3 linked regions of the Neurospora crassa OR74A genome follow. The protein of the gene in region 3 interacts with the protein of the main gene of each other region in a pairwise test. Links are inferred from orthologs where the notes say so. Each region holds a gene or a part of one and is shown on either strand. Other genes may lie near its edges.

Region 1 (6,630 bases), on a different chromosome or scaffold from region 3:
TCGAGAACAACGGCTCACAAGAAGGAACTTCAGTGGAAATTAGACAAGATGTATTATGCTCAGAGTTTGCGTCTTGCTTTTTCTCCCTTATCCGTTCAAAGCTCATCATGAGCTGGAAAAGTGTCGGCCAGTTGTACTTTGTTTTGCTTCAAGACGTGTGACTGTGTACTTTTGCTGTATATGCTCGAGTCAGTTGGCAAGTGAGACGAGGGCCAGAAAACGACCCATTGTTCGACTGTAAAGTCCTCATAAGAGACTCAAGTAGCCAATCCTTGCTATGAAAACAAGGAGAGATTTTCGAAACACATATGTCCTTGGCCCTCCCAAACAAGTCATCGTGATCGAGAGGGGACTGCAAATGGTCTGTCGTATATGGGTATGTATTCACATCTCCGGACCGTCTTCGAGAAGTCAATGGCTCACGAGCTGTTCCCCAGAACTAGTATATCTATGTGATTACCCCTTCAATTTTGGGTACATGCTCATAAATCCAAAAATGAACAAACTATATCAAGAAGCCAGTGGTGGATTGCAGAGGTGGACGCGGATGATGGATGTAGAATGATACCAAACATAGTCTGGACAGTTCGTCTGGCACTAGGTCTTATTAGGGCGGACGAAGAAGACGGTTTCAAACAGAATAAGAGGTAGTGTACAACATGCTTAACTGTCTCTTCATGGTCTCTTCAGCCTCGGGTTATCCCCTTTTCACTTCTCTCTTCACTTCTCTCTTCACTTCTCTCTTCACTTCTCTCTTCACTTCTCTCTTCACTTCTCTCTTCACTTCTTCTTAATCAACCAAAACCTGAGGTCCGGGGTACAGATAGCCTTGAACAAGGTAGAGGGAACTTTTTCCTTTTTCCTTTTTTTTTGTTTCTTTTTTTTTCCTTTTATTTTTTTTCTTTCTTTTCTTTTCTTTTTTTTTTTTTTTTTTTTTTTTTTTTTTTTTTTTTTTTTTTTTTTTTTTTTTTTTTGATAAAGGGCAAGCTAGTAGTAGGGGTAGGCAATCCCAAATACTAATAAGATGTAATGAAAATGGAGAGTTACCAATTTGGCTGAGGGTGGATAGCTAGACTGATTTTGCATTTTTTCACTTTGTAGACCTGTGGAGGTAGAGGTAGGTACCAAGTTATGAGTCGCTATGATCTGGGCTGAATTGGAGGAAAGATCACACGGAGAATAGTGACGGGTAACAGAAGGAAAGCATGAGGGGAAACAGAGCAATGAGGTTGGAGAGGGCCAGGATTAGTTGTTGTACTGACTCCATAATATTAGGCACACAAGAATCATCTTCGACAATGTTGAACGTGAACAGTTGAGCATTGTATACCGGCTGACGGCCGATGAAAAACAAACTCATGCATAGTTTTTGAACTCCCAATTATGTACCTATTCCATACAAAAGAAAAAGACCTTTACAGATCGCCCTTAGCCAAGACTGCCCACCCGTCCAACCCATCAGGGTATCATCCATCTTCTTCCTACGTCTATCCCTCGTCTAACAACCCGACCTTTAAAGCTTGAAGGCACCACTCGACGTAGGACCCTTCTGCTCCGCGATCTTCTTGCCATCCAACCCAACCGTCTCACCCTTCCGGTTAATAACCTTGACACCGCCCTTCTTGAGCTGGCTCATCGTCTCCTTGCGTTCCTGGGCACCCTTGCTGATGTTCTTGTTCGCATCCAGGCCGCCGGCCTTGCGGATGCGCTCCTTCTCGCGTCTGCGTCTCCTAGCCTTCTCCTCGCGGCTCATCTCCTCCTTGGCAATCGGCAGGCCGCTCTTGGCCACGACCTCGCCCTTCTCGACTGAGTCCTTGCCGGGGGCGTACACCTCCTGGGGCGCGAGCGTGCTCTCGCCACCCGACACACCCTGGGCCGTGGTGGGCATGGCGTCCTCCATGGCGACGGTGGCGACGTCGGTGACAACGCTGATGGTGGGTGCGGCGGGTTTAGGCTTGTAGTGCCAGCTGCTGAGGGCGTCGAGCTTGGCGCAGATGTCCTTCCACATGTTCTTGATCTCGGCCTCGTCGCGCGTGAGCTTCTCGTCCGAAGCGCTGACGTACTCGTCCGGGTTGGCCTTCTTGATGTGCTCCTCCTCGTAGATCTCGGCGAGAGACTGCTTGCCCTTGGTGTCGTCGATCTCAACGAGACCGCGGCGCGCGTTGTTGGGGTTATTGAGGGTGTCAGGACGTCTCCTGAGAACCTCGTCGAACTCGTTGGCAAGAATGCGGCGTTTGATGAGCGCCTCAATCGTCTCGGAAACCTCCTCGGTAATGACGGGGACAGGCTTTCCGACATGCTCAAACTCGAGGTCTTCCTCCAGGAGCGAGTTCATGGGACGAGCTTGCGCGGAAGCCTCACCGGACAGAGTCCAGGCGCGCTTGGCAACTAGCTCAGACTCGAGCCTGCGGATCTCCTCGGCAATCTTGGCTTGTCTGCGCTCGTGGGCGGACCGGCGAGATCTCGGATCACCAGCATCAAGATCCGAGAGCTTATCTTCATCTTCATTCTCCGAGATGTCGTCGAAGAGATCGCGGCGCACATCATTCTCGGCTCTCTCCATATCGGCCTCATCTGGCTGCTCAAGTTTCTTGGGGAAATAGCCTCCTTTCCTTTGGTTGCCGGTCTTCTTCTTTTGAGGTGGCGCGAAGAAGTCCTTGTAGTAAATGTCGTTGGCGGTAAGGTCCATGTCCATACCGAGAACACCATCTGTAAGGCCGAGATCGTCGCCATCGTCCTCGAGCTGCTCCACGTTCTTCTTGCCCTTGAGTTTCTTGGCGTGGGCGGCGGCAGCAGCCTCGAGGGCCTCGTCGTCTTCGGATTCATCGCCCATGTCGACGTCGTCCTCATCCTGGTCTTCGTCCTTCTTCTTGTCGCTCTTGCCCTTCTTTGATTTTGGCTTTGTCGCGAAAGGATCGGCGTGCCAGTCTAGCTGTTCGTCGTCGCTGTCGGCATCGACGTTGGGGTCCGCACGGGCATCCGCGTCCTCCCACAACTGTGTCTGCCGGTTGAAGTCGTCTATTGAGAAGAAGCCGTCGTTGAGGCCGTTGGGATCCTCGACAAGTTCTGGCGCATCCTCTTCCTCTTCTTCTTCTTCTTCTTCTTCTTCTTCTTCCTCCTCCTCCTCATCAAACTCTCCTTCTCCATCTTCGTCCGAGAATTCAACCTCTTCGCCATCGATCTCGATTTCTTCATCGTCGTCGATCTGGCTGCCCTCTTCTCCTTCTAATTCTTCTTCGTCATCCTCCTCATCCTCTTCTCCTTCAGAGCCAGAACCAGATTCGCTATCAGCATCCTCCTCATCGTCCTCCTCCTCCTCATCAGAACCAAGCTCAAACCCATCCTCTCCAAACTCAATGGTCTTCTCTTGTTCCTCGCCGGTGCCCACAATCCCGTTCTCCTCCAGCTCCTTCAGCACATCGCCAGCCTCCTTTGTGGCGCTGGCAATGATCTTCTTGGCCTGCTGCCAAATCTGCTCCGTCTCGAAGCCGTCGTCGACGTGCAGCTTGCGAATCTTGAGCACGGCATTCTTGTCATAGCCAGCCTCACGCTTGCGCTTCTTTCCACCGATGGTGGCCGCGATCTCTTTCAGCTTTGCCTGCTGGTGGTCACTGACCTGCGAGGCGAGCGCGTCGAGGGTCTCCTTGGCGAGCAGGAGGGATCCGGCGGGAAGGGTCGAGGGCGGCTGCAGGAAGACGTGGCGGTTGGACTCGTCGGCCAGGGCCGAGAGGAAGGAGGCGACGACGGGGTTGTTGGCAATTGTCGAAGGAGAGGTGCTGCCGCTCGACGATGCGGCGAGGGTAGCGGCCATGACGCTGTTGTGTGTGGAGGGGTCGTGGGTGATTGTTTGGGATGTCGAGGTTACGGAAGAGGTTATGCTGCCAGCTGCCATGTCTGTTTTTTAGGTAGGGTTGGACTAATGCTGTAAGAAGATCAATCAAGGCTAGGGTATCGAGGCTGGCCTTGTCATACAAGTGTCTGACTTGAGGGTTCAATATGGACGCTTGACTAAGAAATGGCAGGGCGTCGGTGTTTGCCGTTGCCCGTACCAAAACAAAAAAAAGTTCGACCTGACGATGTTTGGTTGCCAGCCGGCGATATTGATGGACCAAAATTTTTTCTGCCATAGCGCTCTCCAAGGTCCAGGAAACGGCGAAGCGTGGAGGCAGGCGTCCCCGCACCAGCTTATGGGGCTGGCTGTGAATTGACCAATGATGGGTGATTCTGCTCTCTGGAAATGGAAGTAGGTCCCACTTCTCTTGTTGTTAAGCTTCAGGGCGGTGCACCGCTATAAGACGAGGTTGCCTTAACACTTATAATCGGATGACAATGTCAAGTAAACAAACCACAAAGTGCATGCAGTCTCAAAGGAGATGCTCGACATCAAGCTTGAGAGAGGGGATGAATTCACAATGACCTTTTTTTAAATATAGCATACGCTAGCGAGTTACTCTGAAGTTACTGGAAACTCAGTAAGCAATCACGCAACGATCTCCAGTGCTGTTGGATAGGTGAAGTCGCCGTTTCGACACAGGCACCTAGCTTGTTATCAGCACTTCCTTATCTAAAATTCCAGACTACCCTATCAATCCCATCAGCTCGTACATAGTCTATTGTATCTTTCGCCGCTTCACTTTCGTCGTAACTGGAAGTTTCTTGTCAAACGGTAAAAGGTAATTAAATTGTGCAAGAACTGTAAAATGTTAAACCAACGATTAACCCCATTGAGGAAGAGCGCTAGGTTTGCCTCATACTAGCTACATTACAGTATGCTTCTCGTGTTCTTTTCAACATCGTAATGAGATCTCTGCGACAGACGTTGATGGACTATTTTCTGTAGAGGTAGGCTACTTACCCAGCCGGCTCTTCTTCATGGTCTGGATAACGTGCAGAGAAAGCTCTTATTACATAGTAGAAATGTAAGGGTGTTATTTGCGCACCTTCGGGGAAAGATGCTGCAAGTCATAACACTTGTTGAAGTTCCTTCACAAGCCACATCCCTATGCATATGGTATCGCCCGTGAGAATTTTGACGGACCATGAGGTATTCTTTCAAAATACGACAGCAGCGTTGACGTGCTGCATTAGGGTCTGGACCGTCTAAGCCTTCATTGAATGCAACTCGCGGGAGAGTGTCCCGCCGAGCCGAGCTGCGAGTGATACTCAAGACCTTCGTATCCCAGGCCAGGGAATTGTATCATGTTCTTTAGCGGTTGCCGAGGTCAATGTGAGGGCGATGGTGGCTTTGGTGATCCCAGCCTCTATGGTCGTGCGTTGCGTGCTCTCAATATGACCTCTTTTTCATGTTCGCCGGGAAATAACTGTGAACCTCACGGTGAAGATGTTTGCTATGTAACCACTAACTTGCTGTCGTGAACGGCGAGGATCCCATCAAGTGTCAGTGGCCTCCTGTATAGTACGACACATGAACTTGATCGCTAAGTGGCGTTGCTCGGTCCAATCGCATCACACCATCTATCTCTGCTACCTACCTAGAGTAGAATGGCCAAGTTAACGGCAACATTTCCAAAGTCGTACAGGAGGTCGCGAGAGAAGTTTCGGTTGGCTCACACTATGTAACTGCCAATCGCACACTGTTTGGTTACAGAGCTGGAAGATACGTCGAGATGGAGGGACGGGAAATACTTTTGAGTTGCCGGATGTTACCTAATTTGTCAAGCGAAGGAGATCTCCTTGTGAAAATCCGGACGGGCCGATTCATTCTTTTCTATTTTCCATATCCGCCTCCCTTCTGGCAGGCTCTATGTGAGGGTGAGAGGAGAAACTGCATCCCACAACAGGTCTTCACAACACGACTTGTCAAGAGCACCTGTCCGTCGCCCCACCCCATCTATGCTGTTGGGAGCCGTCTTGCAGCTGTACCAGTGGCAACTCGATCGTTTTCTCTTGGTAGGACCACGGTGCAAATGCTTGAGTACCGTACCTACCTAACCTCGGTCGAGACAAAATGAAAGAGACTGCAGCCGGCCCAGACCAGAATCATGACATTTCCTCTCGTTAATTTTACCTCTTTTATTCGTCTTCATGGTCATTTATGGTTCTCAACAAGTGTCTACAGCCTTACAAACTCGTAGGTGTTTTGTCAATATGCCGTTGACATCATGTTCTGGAGACCATGTTTTTCTTTTTGTCCTGGACGAGCCAGTTACGCAACCATAATGGGTGTGTATGGGGAACCTGGTGGAGGACGATCAATCGTTGTTACCCTGGAGGTGGTTTTGGCCGACCCGGATAAAGCGACTGTGCGCGATTCCAAACAGCCTGTGTGGGCCAAGGCACATGTCACCTCCCGGTAACCTAGATTAGTGGTTAGGGTTAGTGGTTAGGGTTAGGCGTTAGGGTTAGTTCCGGGGGTGTAGGGGGCCGGTGAGAGGCCCCTGCGTGTGAATGAAAGTCCAACGCTTTAAAAAAAGGTGGTTTTAAGTTCTTATTATCGTTGTTAAGATAATGACATTTGGTGGTGACTTTGGTGGTGACTTGCGGTCGCGAAAGTTGGCGCGACAGATGCCAAGCTTTGGGTCTTGGCTGAGCTTGGCTGTCGATTTGTATGGGACCCACACAGGCCATATGGAATCGAGCACAGTCGCTTTATCCGGGTCGGGTTTTGGC
Region 2 (6,570 bases), on a different chromosome or scaffold from region 3:
TGATAGTGCTCGCGGATGAGGATGACACGCCTGCTGCATTTCCTCTTTCTCTTGCTCCTCCCAGCAAAGCGGTACGTTCATCCGGTCCCGATTCCAAATCTTCTCCTACCCTTCTTCTTCCTTCATCGCTCGACGTCCCCCGACTACCATCAACCCTCCCCTTACCCTTGTTCTTTCCGCGTCTACTCCCCATATCACGCTCTGAAGCAGCTTCACTGTCGTCGGAGTCAATGGCAATGGTGGGGACCACTTCATCCCGCCAGGTAAATCCCCGGTAATAGAAACATTGCGCCAAAAGCACCACGTCGGCAATGGTGTAATAAATGGCCAAGATGAGCATGGTCGGCAGGACCCCTTGCAATACGGCCCCCAAGATGTTGAAGACATCGCCCGTTAGCCAGATGATGATGAATTGGATGGAGAGCCCGTCGGCGGATGAGCGGCGGAAGTTTTCGATGATTTGCGGGGAGAAGACGACGACCCAGCATGCTATTGATACGGAGCTGTTGAGAGGGTTTAGTAAGATGGAGAAGGTGAAGTTAATTGGGAGTGGAATGAGACCTACCCGAGGATCCCCGATATGGCCTCGACGTCGAGGTTGAGGAGTTCGGTCGGGGGCGCCATGGTGGCTGCTGTTGTCCGTAGGACCGCGTGTAATGCTGTCTCACTGTTTTGTGCAACCGTCTCTTGATAGGTACAGGTTGAGAATACTTGTGGGTTTAAGCGTGAGGAAGGATGCGATGGTTGAATGAAAGCGTTTTTGTTGATGCGCTTTACTCTCCCGCCTTATCGATTGAGTTGTTTGCCCCCAAGATTCGTTGGAACTTGGATGCCCAGTTCACCTCGCTCTTTGTTGTTGTGTCCTTGTTTTGTGGGTTTGGTAGACAGGAGATACGTCACTTCAATTGAGAGCCGCCCTGAGGATTCATGAGCGGTCGGTCAAAGAGTTACAGAGTACACACTGAAGTGAGGCTCAAGATAACGATGCAAAATGCAAAGTCAACAAAAAAGGCTGAACAAAGGAAAGAGTCGACCTGATTACAATCCGATTCGAGTCATACATGGTGAAAAGTCTGATGGTCGCATGACTAGTTTTAAATCCTTTGCCTCTTCATCCGCAAACCGGTTCCCCCAAGACCCAAGGTTGACCCGCCTGGCTGCAAGATACGTGTAATGCATCCTCGGCGGCGGCAAAAGAGCCCTTAAAAGCATGCACGTCTCAGGCGGCTCAAGCGTCCCGGGCTGTAGGTGGATCTTGTGGGGTACGTCAACCGCTAGGTGAAACCCTAGTACAACAACATCCAACAACAGCATGAGAACCCTTCGAGGGAAACCTGGGTTTCTGGATAGACCGAAAACAGACTGTTGGTTTGGAACTCTTCCTTTTGCCTGGTGGGTTTAAGAAGTCATGGTGGACTGGAAAAAAATAATGTGGCATGTCCTAATCATTGCTCTAACATTCCAGTGTTTCATCCCAAAAATTACCTCTACTTCTTGAACGATCCGTGTTGAAGATACCTGTACTGAAGATAACGAAATTGAAGTGTTCGGTTTAGGATGTTGTGTTTGTTCAGAAACTGCCCAATCTAATAATTTATCATGTGGTGGTGTTACATTTATCCAAAGTTGAGATTTGGGCATTTGCATTGATTCGTCTCAGAGCTCCTATTGGCTCCCTCGCAGGCCTTGTATCCTTTCCAAGTCAACATCGCCTTCGCTCTTTCGGAATCTGGCACACAAGAAATGCCAGGGAAGGGCACAGAAACGAAGAGGAACTAAAAATTGGGATGGAAAAGAAAAAGAAAAAAAATGAGAGGGATTCTTATATAGCCCTATTCTCAGACCCGGGGTTTACCATGAACCTGTACTAACACGATTGAACAGGGTGCGAGTACCGGCGACCTCCGGTGTTGAGAATACTGGACATTGTAGATATTGTAGATCTTGAAGAGGTATCAAGTGTGTTCAAGAAATACAATGCCATTGTGTGTGCAAGCCTGCTTTTTTCCATTTCCGTTGAGGCCATGATTATCAACAACCCAAAAATCTATACATGCATGATATACCCAGAGTACTACAAACCAGTCCAACAACCACGACAACCAGAGCCCTATCAAGAAAGCTTGATACTCTTGACCAAGCCGGTCTTGATACCCGACAGTTCTCCCTGGTACCCGCCCTTGCCCTCGCCGCCCTTGTACACGGCCTTGACGCTCTTGAGCTTCTTCTGCTTCTCCGCGTACTTCATCCTCTTCTTGACACGCGGGTTGCGGTTCTCCTTCTTGCGATGCGGCGTGAGGCCCTTGTTCTTCTGGATCTGGTAGTTGATTTGGCGCTTGCCGTCGGGGCCGATCGTCGTCTCCTCCACGACCCGGGCGCCCTTGGCAGCCGCCAAAGCCTCGTACTTGGCCGCCTTGTCCTCCTTCTTCTTGGCCGCGTTGTGCGCCACCATGTCGTAGTACTCGTCCTCCTCTCCGCGCACCTGCTTGGCAACGGCCTTGTCCTCGTCGTCGCTGTCGCCCTCGCCCAGCACGGCGCCGTGCTTGCTGTCTTTCTTGCCGCGCTTCTCGGCCTCGGCGTTGAGCCGTGCTTGCCTGTCTCTCTGCGCAAAAGTCAGTATATGACAACACGGCATGTTTTTTAGGCAATGGCCGACTTACAAATCTCTCACGGTAGGGAAGATCGTCATCACCACCGGCGTTGCGACCCGCATCCGCACGCTTGGCGGACTTGGACACAATCTGGGAGGTGTAGAATTTGAGACTCTTCTTGCGAGCAGCCTTCTCCTTGGCCACGTGAGCTTCAAGGATCTCCTCGTCACCAAAGTCGGAGCGCTCATCGTCATCGCGCTTGTCGACCTTGACAGACTTCTTGCTGGCCTTGGTTGCCGTCTTGGTGGTTTCAAGCAAACTGGAGAGATCGGCAAGAGACTGCTCGACAGCCCTGGCCTTCTTGGCCTTCTCGGCCTCCTTCTTCGCCTTGGCCTTGAGCTCAGCCTTGGATTCGCGCTTGCTCTTCTTGAGCATCTTCTTGAAGTCCTCCATATCGTCGTCAGACAGGTCATCATACTCGCCCTCATCTTCGGGTGGCGAAAGCATGCCGCTGGTCGAGGAGACGCTCTTGAGCGGCTTGAGTTCCTTGACCTTAAGCCAGGCCTCGCGACAGCTCATTAACGTGCCCATAACCTCGTGGTCCCTGAGTTCCGTAGGGCTGATCGTCTTGGACACACCTTGGCTGTCTCTTGCTGGCGAAGTCAGGATAGCGAAATAACTGGCGAGTGAAGCGATGTAACACCCAAGAGTCCAGAACTTGACCATCTCCAGAGACTTGGCAGGCTTGCCCTCGGCCTCTTTTTGAAGAGTTGTGAGAATCGGCTGCAGCTCCCTAAACTCCTGCGCCAGGTAGTCAAACTCGGGATATCGGCTCTGTAGAAGCTTGTATCTTTCTTCCGGCCCCATGTCCTCTGTGACTTCGATCTCGTTGAGTTTCTCGGTAATGACATCCTCCTCTCCCTCGGCCTCCTCCTTGGTTCCTAGCCATTCGCTCTCGTCAAACGCGAAATCGGCCTCGGACATTTTGGCCAACTTCTTGGCCTGGAGCCTCTTTGCCTCAGCCTCTTCCTCCAAGGCATCGGCCTCGGTCTCGATCTGGTCGGCATTGTAGTAGTCCTTTCTGGAGGAACCCCACCATCCTTCGTCACCTTCTTCCTCCTCTTCACCACCCATCTCTTCGTCGGAAAGTACTGTTGTCTTGACCTTCTTGCCCTTCGCGGGCGCGGCGTCTTCGTGTTCGCTCTCCTCATCGGATTCGTCCTCCTCGAAAACCTCCTCGTCAGAAGCCTCTAGGAACTCCTCCTCCTTGTCTTGGCGCCTGCGCTTGGATTGTCTGCCATCATCGCTGTCGTCAAAGTCGATGCGATCCTGGTTCTCCCAGTATTCGTCTTCGGAGTTGGCGACATCTTTGTAAGTCTTAACGGTAAGGCGGGCGTCCTTGGCATCGACCTCGCGAGGCTCGGCGGGACCGGTCGGTCTCGGGGCTTTTCTCTTCTTCGCCATTTTTGCGTTTGTGTCGCGGTTATCTATTCAGGCGTGTTGGATGGAGTTTGGCGCGACTGAGAAACGTTGACGTGAAGACGCTGCCAAAAGGCACTTGGAGATGCTCGTTGAATGGGCTGGTGGGTTCGTTCGCTAGGCGGGCAACAAATGTTGAAGCGGCAGAATTTTTTTGCTCTTGTCAATTTGCGATCCATTCTCAGCGGAACCTCGACCGCCCAGCTCCACTCTCATGCAGGCTGCCTAACCCCACAATTGAAGATGCTCCACAGTTACATCTGAAATGGTCAAAGCTTCCATCCCGTCCTCAGGGTCGACGGGAAGCTCCAAGATGCCCCCCAGGCCTGCCAGATTTACGTTGACATGACCTCAATGGGTTCAGTTATGACAGTAGAGAAAACCGCTTCTGAAGACTCGAAAACGCAAACTCCAGCAAATGGTTCCAGAAACCTCATTTTCCTACGGAGTGCGAAGAAATCGGTCGAATCATCACCCATCAACAAGTCACTTACAGACAGGGGTGTAAGCTCCAGTACGACGGGAACTGCTGACAGCATCCACTAAATTTACGCCGTAGAGGTACTCGTTCGTACTCTAGACGTATACAGAATAGCTTAGGCGCCGCCGCGTCAACAATTCCACTTTCCTCGAGCCCGATCTTCTTTCACGATCCAAGGAAGGATGAACCATTATCTCTTCTCAGAGTCGCTGATGGAACAATTGAAAACCCTCAGCACCTCCTGGTCTCTCCCAGTTGCAGCCGTCGTCGCGGCCATTGGCATATTTGCTACAATGGGTCTCTTCAGCTCCAAAAACCACATGCCAGTCGAGGGCCGGGTATGCGCCCCGAAGCCTCACCCGACCTGACCCGACCTCCAAACAACACTAACTCAACCCCTGTTACCAGACCGTCCTCCTAACCGGCGCCTCCGAAGGCATGGGCCGCTCAGCGGCCATCCAACTTTCGCAAAAGGGCGCCAATGTCATCCTCGTCTCGCGCAACGTCGGGCGCCTTGAAGAAGCCCTCGTCGACGTCCGCGCCGCCGCCAAGAACCCGTCCACACAACGCTTCACTTACATCTCAGCCGACGTTTCCGAGCACGACTACGCCGCCGCGGTCCTCGCCGAAGCTATCGCCTGGAATGGCGGGCGCTCCCCGGACATCGTCTGGTGCGTGGCCGGCATGTCGACGCCTCTGCTGTGGACCGACGATGGCAGCATGGCGGCCGCACGCCGCAACATGGACGTCAACTACTTTGGGTCGGCGGAGATGTCGCGGGCGATTTTGAGGGAGTGGCTGGCACCCGAAAACAGCACGGGACCCAACGGAGAGCCGAAGCACTTGGTATTTACCGCGTCAATGTTGGCGCTTTTTGCGATTTTGGGCTATGGCCCGTACACCCCAACCAAATGGGCGCTGAGAGGACTGGCGGATACCCTGGCGATGGAGGTCAATTACTACCCAGATAACCCGGTCAAGGTGCACATTGTGTATCCCGGCACGATTGTATCACCGGGCTACGAGAGGGAAAATCAGACGAAGCCGGACATCACGGTGGAGCTGGAAAAGGACGAGCCAGCGGAAAGCCCGGATACGGTAGCAAGGAGGGCGATTGCCGGGCTGGAGGCTGGCAAGTATTTTGTCGATGTGTCATTCCTGGGAAGGCTGATGCAGTGCGGGATCATGGGCGGGTCGCCGAGGAACAACTGGGTGCTGGACACGTTGATGGGGTGGCTCATACCGATCATCTACTTCTTCGTGTTGAGGGGGATGAACTCAACGATTGTGAAGTGGGCGAGGGAAAAGGGGCATCCTTTTACGCATCCCAAGAAGAAGTGATGCGATGGTTGGATCTGTTCTTTTGTATGGATGTGTATATGATATCTATGAACATAAAAATACTGTAATAACTTTGTTGTTGTAATAGACCGATATCAGCCTCAAGACAACCTGGACAAGTCCCCCGTCTCCTTTGTGAGACACTCACCTTGAAGTCAAAGCACTACGTCTTCACCGCGATCCGGATGCGTTTTGACACCAAGAATGAGCAATCCATGCTTAGTTGGGTGACAACGACTTTATACCCTGCTTGTGTTGTCCAGCAATAAGTGTATATTCCGACGTCAAGATGTTTGGAGCACCACTTGGTGAGTGCGGAGACAGAAAGATGACTACCTGCTAAACCCATGGTATGCCCCTGTTGCAGACTGTATGAATCTTCTGGCAGAACCTGCTCTTACTGTATACTAGACTTACGGATTGTATCGATGGAATGTGTGAGCTTCGGTTCAGAGCTTTTGACCTTCGCCAGTATACATGTGGATAGGTATCAGTCGGTGAACTACATTAGCTCGGAACTCCATCCATTCCCCACGTCCCGTTTCTACGATTATCGGGCCAGCACCGTGAACAGACATGCATCATATCAATACTATAGTCATCATTCCCACCCCATCTGGACTCTCTAATACGCTCCATTTCTAGACTTTGGGGGAAACATTGATATTTCCTACACCG
Region 3 (4,182 bases):
ACGGCCACAGGAGCGGAGATGTACGTCTTGGTGTCGATGGTCGCGCCAGCCTCGGTGCCGATGGTCAGGTGGACGGCCGGGTGGGGGAAGGTGCCGGTCTCGGGGGAGGCGAAGAAGTTCTGGATCAGGGCGCTGAAGCTGTTGAGCTCGTGCGAGGTGGTGTACCAACCCAGCAGGGTCTCGCGGGGGTTGGCCTTGAGCGTCAGGGCCAACATGTTCTTCTGGTACTCGACGTCCACCTCAACCTGGTCCTCGTTCTCGGTGTGGGGGATGGCGAAGGTGGAGCGGACTTCGACCTCGCTGCCGTCCTCGCTGCGGACACCCACGAGGGCACCAATCACCCGTGTCGACTGGGTGTCGCGGTCGTCACGTCTGACGGCATGGTCGATGATGGAGAAGACAGCCTATTTGGTGAGGAAAGCGAAGGGCTACATGTCAGCTAGGTGTTGTATGGTCTTGGGCAATGGTAGTGGTGGTAGTGGCGGTGGTGACGGCGGGGTAGCAGAGAGGATATAGGTAGGTAGGTAGGTAGGTAAGCTTGACATGCGCAAAGGGGGACATCAAGGTAGGGGACTAGGTAGATAGGAGTGGAGGGGCAGATATAGGACTGTAGTATGGAAATTGGTGCTGTTGACGTACCTGAGGCTGGATGTTGACGGTAAGCGGGGCATTGCTGACACCGAAGCCAAGCACATTGGGCGCAAGGGGGCGCGAGAGATGGACGAAAGACTCCTGATCGACAGCCATTTTGACGACGGGCTGGGCTGTAGTTGAGTGAGAGATGGTGGAGGGGTGGTGTGGTGGTTGATAGAGGAAGCAGGACGGGAGTTCGAGGAGGAGGGGAGGAGCCGTCGAGGTTGAGATTATGGGGCTCTTTGAAAATGTAGACAGCAGACGCTGTTTTCGGGTTCGGGGTGAGAGAGAGGCTAGCGGTTGGCCGGGGGGTGGGGTGGGCTTGCGCTGGTGAAGAGTGGGCACGGGCTGGGCACTGGCAGAAAGAGAAGTCACTTTTTACGGTTGTACACTACACTTTTTTTCACTGCCGAGAATGGGTGTCAAATGTCAATGGCACTCCAGTGTGAGGGTAGGTCTCGGTGGCAGCCCGGCCATCGAGTTGGGTCCGTCACTGTTCACAGGCAGTCACTAACTTCCATTCTCTCGCCCTAGACCGGGAGGTACTCCATCCAGCTTTCGCAAAATATGGGGACCAGTAGGCGGTACCTCTGCTCGAATTTTTGGTTTTGCAGCGCAATGCGGGACCTTTGGGTGTTGTGCGCGCTAAGATAAGATAAGCCGGTCTCCACACTTCCATGTTCAGCTTGGCGGACTTGAGATTGTTCTTTCTTCAGTTCGCAAGGGTCAAGGGGGAGGGGTGGCGTTACAAGGCTGCTCTTTGCCAAGCCCTTCCTTCAAGATTCCATTGGACTTTTGGACTTTTTCTTCTTGGCTCGTTGACAAGGCTGAATACAATTTCCGTATCGTTTTTTTCACCTTTGTTGAATCTGATTTCACACATCAATCACCAATTGTCATATCACCAACCTCACATCTCATAATTTGAGAAAACTCTTACCGCATCAAAATGGCAATTCGAGGTCGCGGTGGTGACCGTGGAGGAGGAGGAAGAGGAGGAGGAGGTCGTGGAAGAGGTGGTGCAGGAGGTTTCAGAGGCAGAGGAGGATCCAGGGGAGGGGGCTCCAGAGGAGGCGCCAGAGGAGCTTCGAGAGGGCGCGGCAGGGGAAGTTCGAGGGGTGGTGCCAGAGGAGGTTTCGGCCCTCGCTCATCCAAGTTCAACGACGCCCGACTTGCCGACAAGGACGAAGAGTAAGAAAATTTCAACACTCAAGGGCAGAAAAGAACTGGAAAGCATACTGACTGAAACAGGGAAGATGAGGAAGAGGACATCTCTGAAGAGGAATCCAATGTTTCTGAGGATGAGATTGAGGAATCAGAAGAGGAGGATGAGGAGGAGGATGCCCAGTCTGGTCAGCCATACATGAGTCTTCTGAAGAGCTTCCAGAGTGCAACCAAGACGAAAAAGAGGAAGTTGGATCACCCGGAGGAGGAAGGTCCGAACAAAGTTACCAAGACGAAAGACGACGATAACAGCGACGACGAAGACAATGAGAAGGTGACGGAGGACGTGGATGCAGTTGACGAGCCAGAGGAAGATCCCCAGGATGCACCATTAGAGGACCTGTTCGACGAAGATGACGACCTCGACGACTCAGACCCCTTCGAAACTCACTTTACTGCCCCAGACGAGGCGACATTTCAGGCTAGGATAAAGGCTATTCAGGCGAACAAGTGGAGGACCGACAGGATAGCAAAAAACTCCAACAGGATATACTACAACACCCCAGAGACAGGCGACTCAGCTGAGCAGAAACTTCCCCATTCCATTTCTGGAGTTGGCGATCTTAAGCTCAAGCAACGATTAGCCGAATCGATGGCTAAGCACACCGAGTTCGACGAAGCTGAGAAGGCAGTAGCACCTCTTCTCTTCAACTATCAAGACATGCTTTACTGCAACCGGTCAGTGGCATCGTCTGAGAGCATAAGGCGGATGGCGTGTCTGCATGCGCTCAACCATGTTTTCAAGTAAGTCTGATGGGAACACGAAAAAAAAAAGAGTAAACAGAGAGCTGACTTTGATACCTACTCAGGACTCGTGACCGTGTAATCAAGAACAACACCAAGTTGCAAAGAGACGACACCCTTGAGCTTAGAGACCAGGGCTTTACCCGCCCCAAGGTCTTGATGATTCTCCCTACCCGCCAGTCATGCGTCAAAATGGTCGAAATGATCTGCAAGGTCGCCGCTCCTGAGCAACAAGAAAACCGCAAGCGTTTCGACGATGGCTATGTCGACAAGTCCACCAAGTTCTCTGACGACAAACCCGAAGACTTCCGCGACCTCTTCGCCGGCAACGACGACGACATGTTCCGCCTCGGTATGAAGTTCACTCGCAAGACCATCAAGTACTTCTCGCAGTTCTACAACTCGGACATCATCTTTGCCTCCCCTCTCGGTCTGCGCATGGCCATCGGTTCCGAGGAAGAGAAGAAGAAGCTCGACTACGACTTCCTCTCGTCCATCGAGCTCGTCATTGTCGACCAGGCCGACGCCCTGCTCATGCAGAACTGGGAGCACGTCGAGTTCATCTTTGAGCACCTCAACCTCCAGCCCCGCGACGCCCACGGCTGCGACTTCTCCCGCGTGCGCTCCTGGTACCTCGACGACCAAGCCAAGTACTTCCGGCAGACGGTGATTTTCAGCGCCTTCAACACGCCCGAGCTGGCCGAGTTGCAGCGTCTTTACTGCCACAACTGGGCAGGCAAAGCCCGGCTGCAAGCCGAATACCCAGGCGTGATCCAGTACCTGGGCGTCAAGACGCGCCAGACCTTTAGCCGGTTCGATGCGGCCTCCATTGCTGCCGACCCGGACGCCCGCTTCGCCTACTTCACCAAGGCCATCGTGCCGACGCTGGTCAAGCGGGCCGCCAAGGACGCGGCGGGAACGCTCATCTTCATCCCCTCGTACCTCGACTTTGTGCGGGTGCGCAACTACTTTGCCAATAACCCGGCCGTCGAGAGCGTCACGTTCGGCAACATCTCCGAGTACGCCGACACACCCGAAGCGTCGCGCGCGCGCTCGCATTTCCTGACGGGCCGCCACCGCGTGCTGCTGTACACGGAGCGCGCCCACCACTTTAGGCGGTACGCCATCAAGGGCGTCAAGCGCGTCATCTTTTATGGCTTGCCGGATAACCCCATCTTCTACAGGGAGATTGCGGGCGGGTACCTGCAGAAGAGCGAGCAGGCGCTGATGCTAGAGCACGGGCAGGGGCACGTCAAGGTCATGTTCAGCAAGTATGATATTATGAAGCTGGAGAGGATCGTGGGGACCAAGAGGGCGGGCAAGATGATTACGGAGCAGGGCGATACTTTTGATTTTGTGTAAAAAGGTCCAGTCAGTCGTATGGTATGTATGTATAAAGGCGTCGGATAATCAAAACTGCCAAGGGGATTGGGTTTACATAATGGATTGAAAAAGTTGGTTGCATAGTTGTTAAAATAGAATACCTACTACTGCTGTACGTACCTAGTGAGCAATAAGACAACATCCTGAAAGTCACCAGTCTATGGAACGGGGCATATGGTTTGCCAGTCTCCCAAGTCC

What was found.
Region 1: the proteins of NCU01022 (region 3) and NCU03952 interact in binary tests that used the Saccharomyces cerevisiae proteins (3 or more experiments, as listed by UniProt). The link is inferred for Neurospora crassa OR74A from reciprocal best matches to the Saccharomyces cerevisiae genes UTP25 and MPP10.
Region 2: the proteins of NCU01022 (region 3) and NCU00301 interact in binary tests that used the Saccharomyces cerevisiae proteins (3 or more experiments, as listed by UniProt). The link is inferred for Neurospora crassa OR74A from reciprocal best matches to the Saccharomyces cerevisiae genes UTP25 and SAS10.

The regions. Positions count from the first base shown.
Region 1 is NC_026506.1:2,220,044-2,226,673, reverse strand, and holds NCU03952 (U3 small nucleolar ribonucleoprotein Mpp10), read right to left. Parts: upstream 4,302-6,630; 5' UTR 3,893-4,301; coding exon 1,514-3,892; 3' UTR 1,061-1,513; downstream 1-1,060. UniProt on the Saccharomyces cerevisiae protein: Involved in nucleolar processing of pre-18S ribosomal RNA. Required for the early cleavages at sites A0, A1 and A2 during 18S ribosomal pre-RNA processing.
Region 2 is NC_026503.1:3,361,252-3,367,821, forward strand, and holds NCU00301 (Sas10/Utp3 family protein), read right to left. Parts: upstream 4,205-6,570; 5' UTR 4,056-4,204; coding exon 2,661-4,055; intron 2,603-2,660; coding exon 2,114-2,602; 3' UTR 1,910-2,113; downstream 1-1,909. Other genes in the region: gpr-5 (PQ loop repeat protein), read right to left, coding at 1-503, 566-624; NCU00302 (3-ketodihydrosphingosine reductase tsc-10), read left to right, coding at 4,734-4,889, 4,960-5,892. UniProt on the Saccharomyces cerevisiae protein: Primarily required at the G2/M phase. Essential for viability: involved in nucleolar processing of pre-18S ribosomal RNA as part of the ribosomal small subunit (SSU) processome.
Region 3 is NC_026505.1:2,700,940-2,705,121, forward strand, and holds NCU01022 (DUF1253 domain-containing protein), read left to right. Parts: upstream 1-1,382; 5' UTR 1,383-1,582; coding exon 1,583-1,824; intron 1,825-1,884; coding exon 1,885-2,601; intron 2,602-2,666; coding exon 2,667-3,963; 3' UTR 3,964-4,078; downstream 4,079-4,182. Other genes in the region: NCU01021 (eukaryotic translation initiation factor 3 subunit EifCf), read right to left, coding at 1-404, 640-747. UniProt on the Saccharomyces cerevisiae protein: DEAD-box RNA helicase-like protein required for pre-18S rRNA processing, specifically at sites A0, A1, and A2.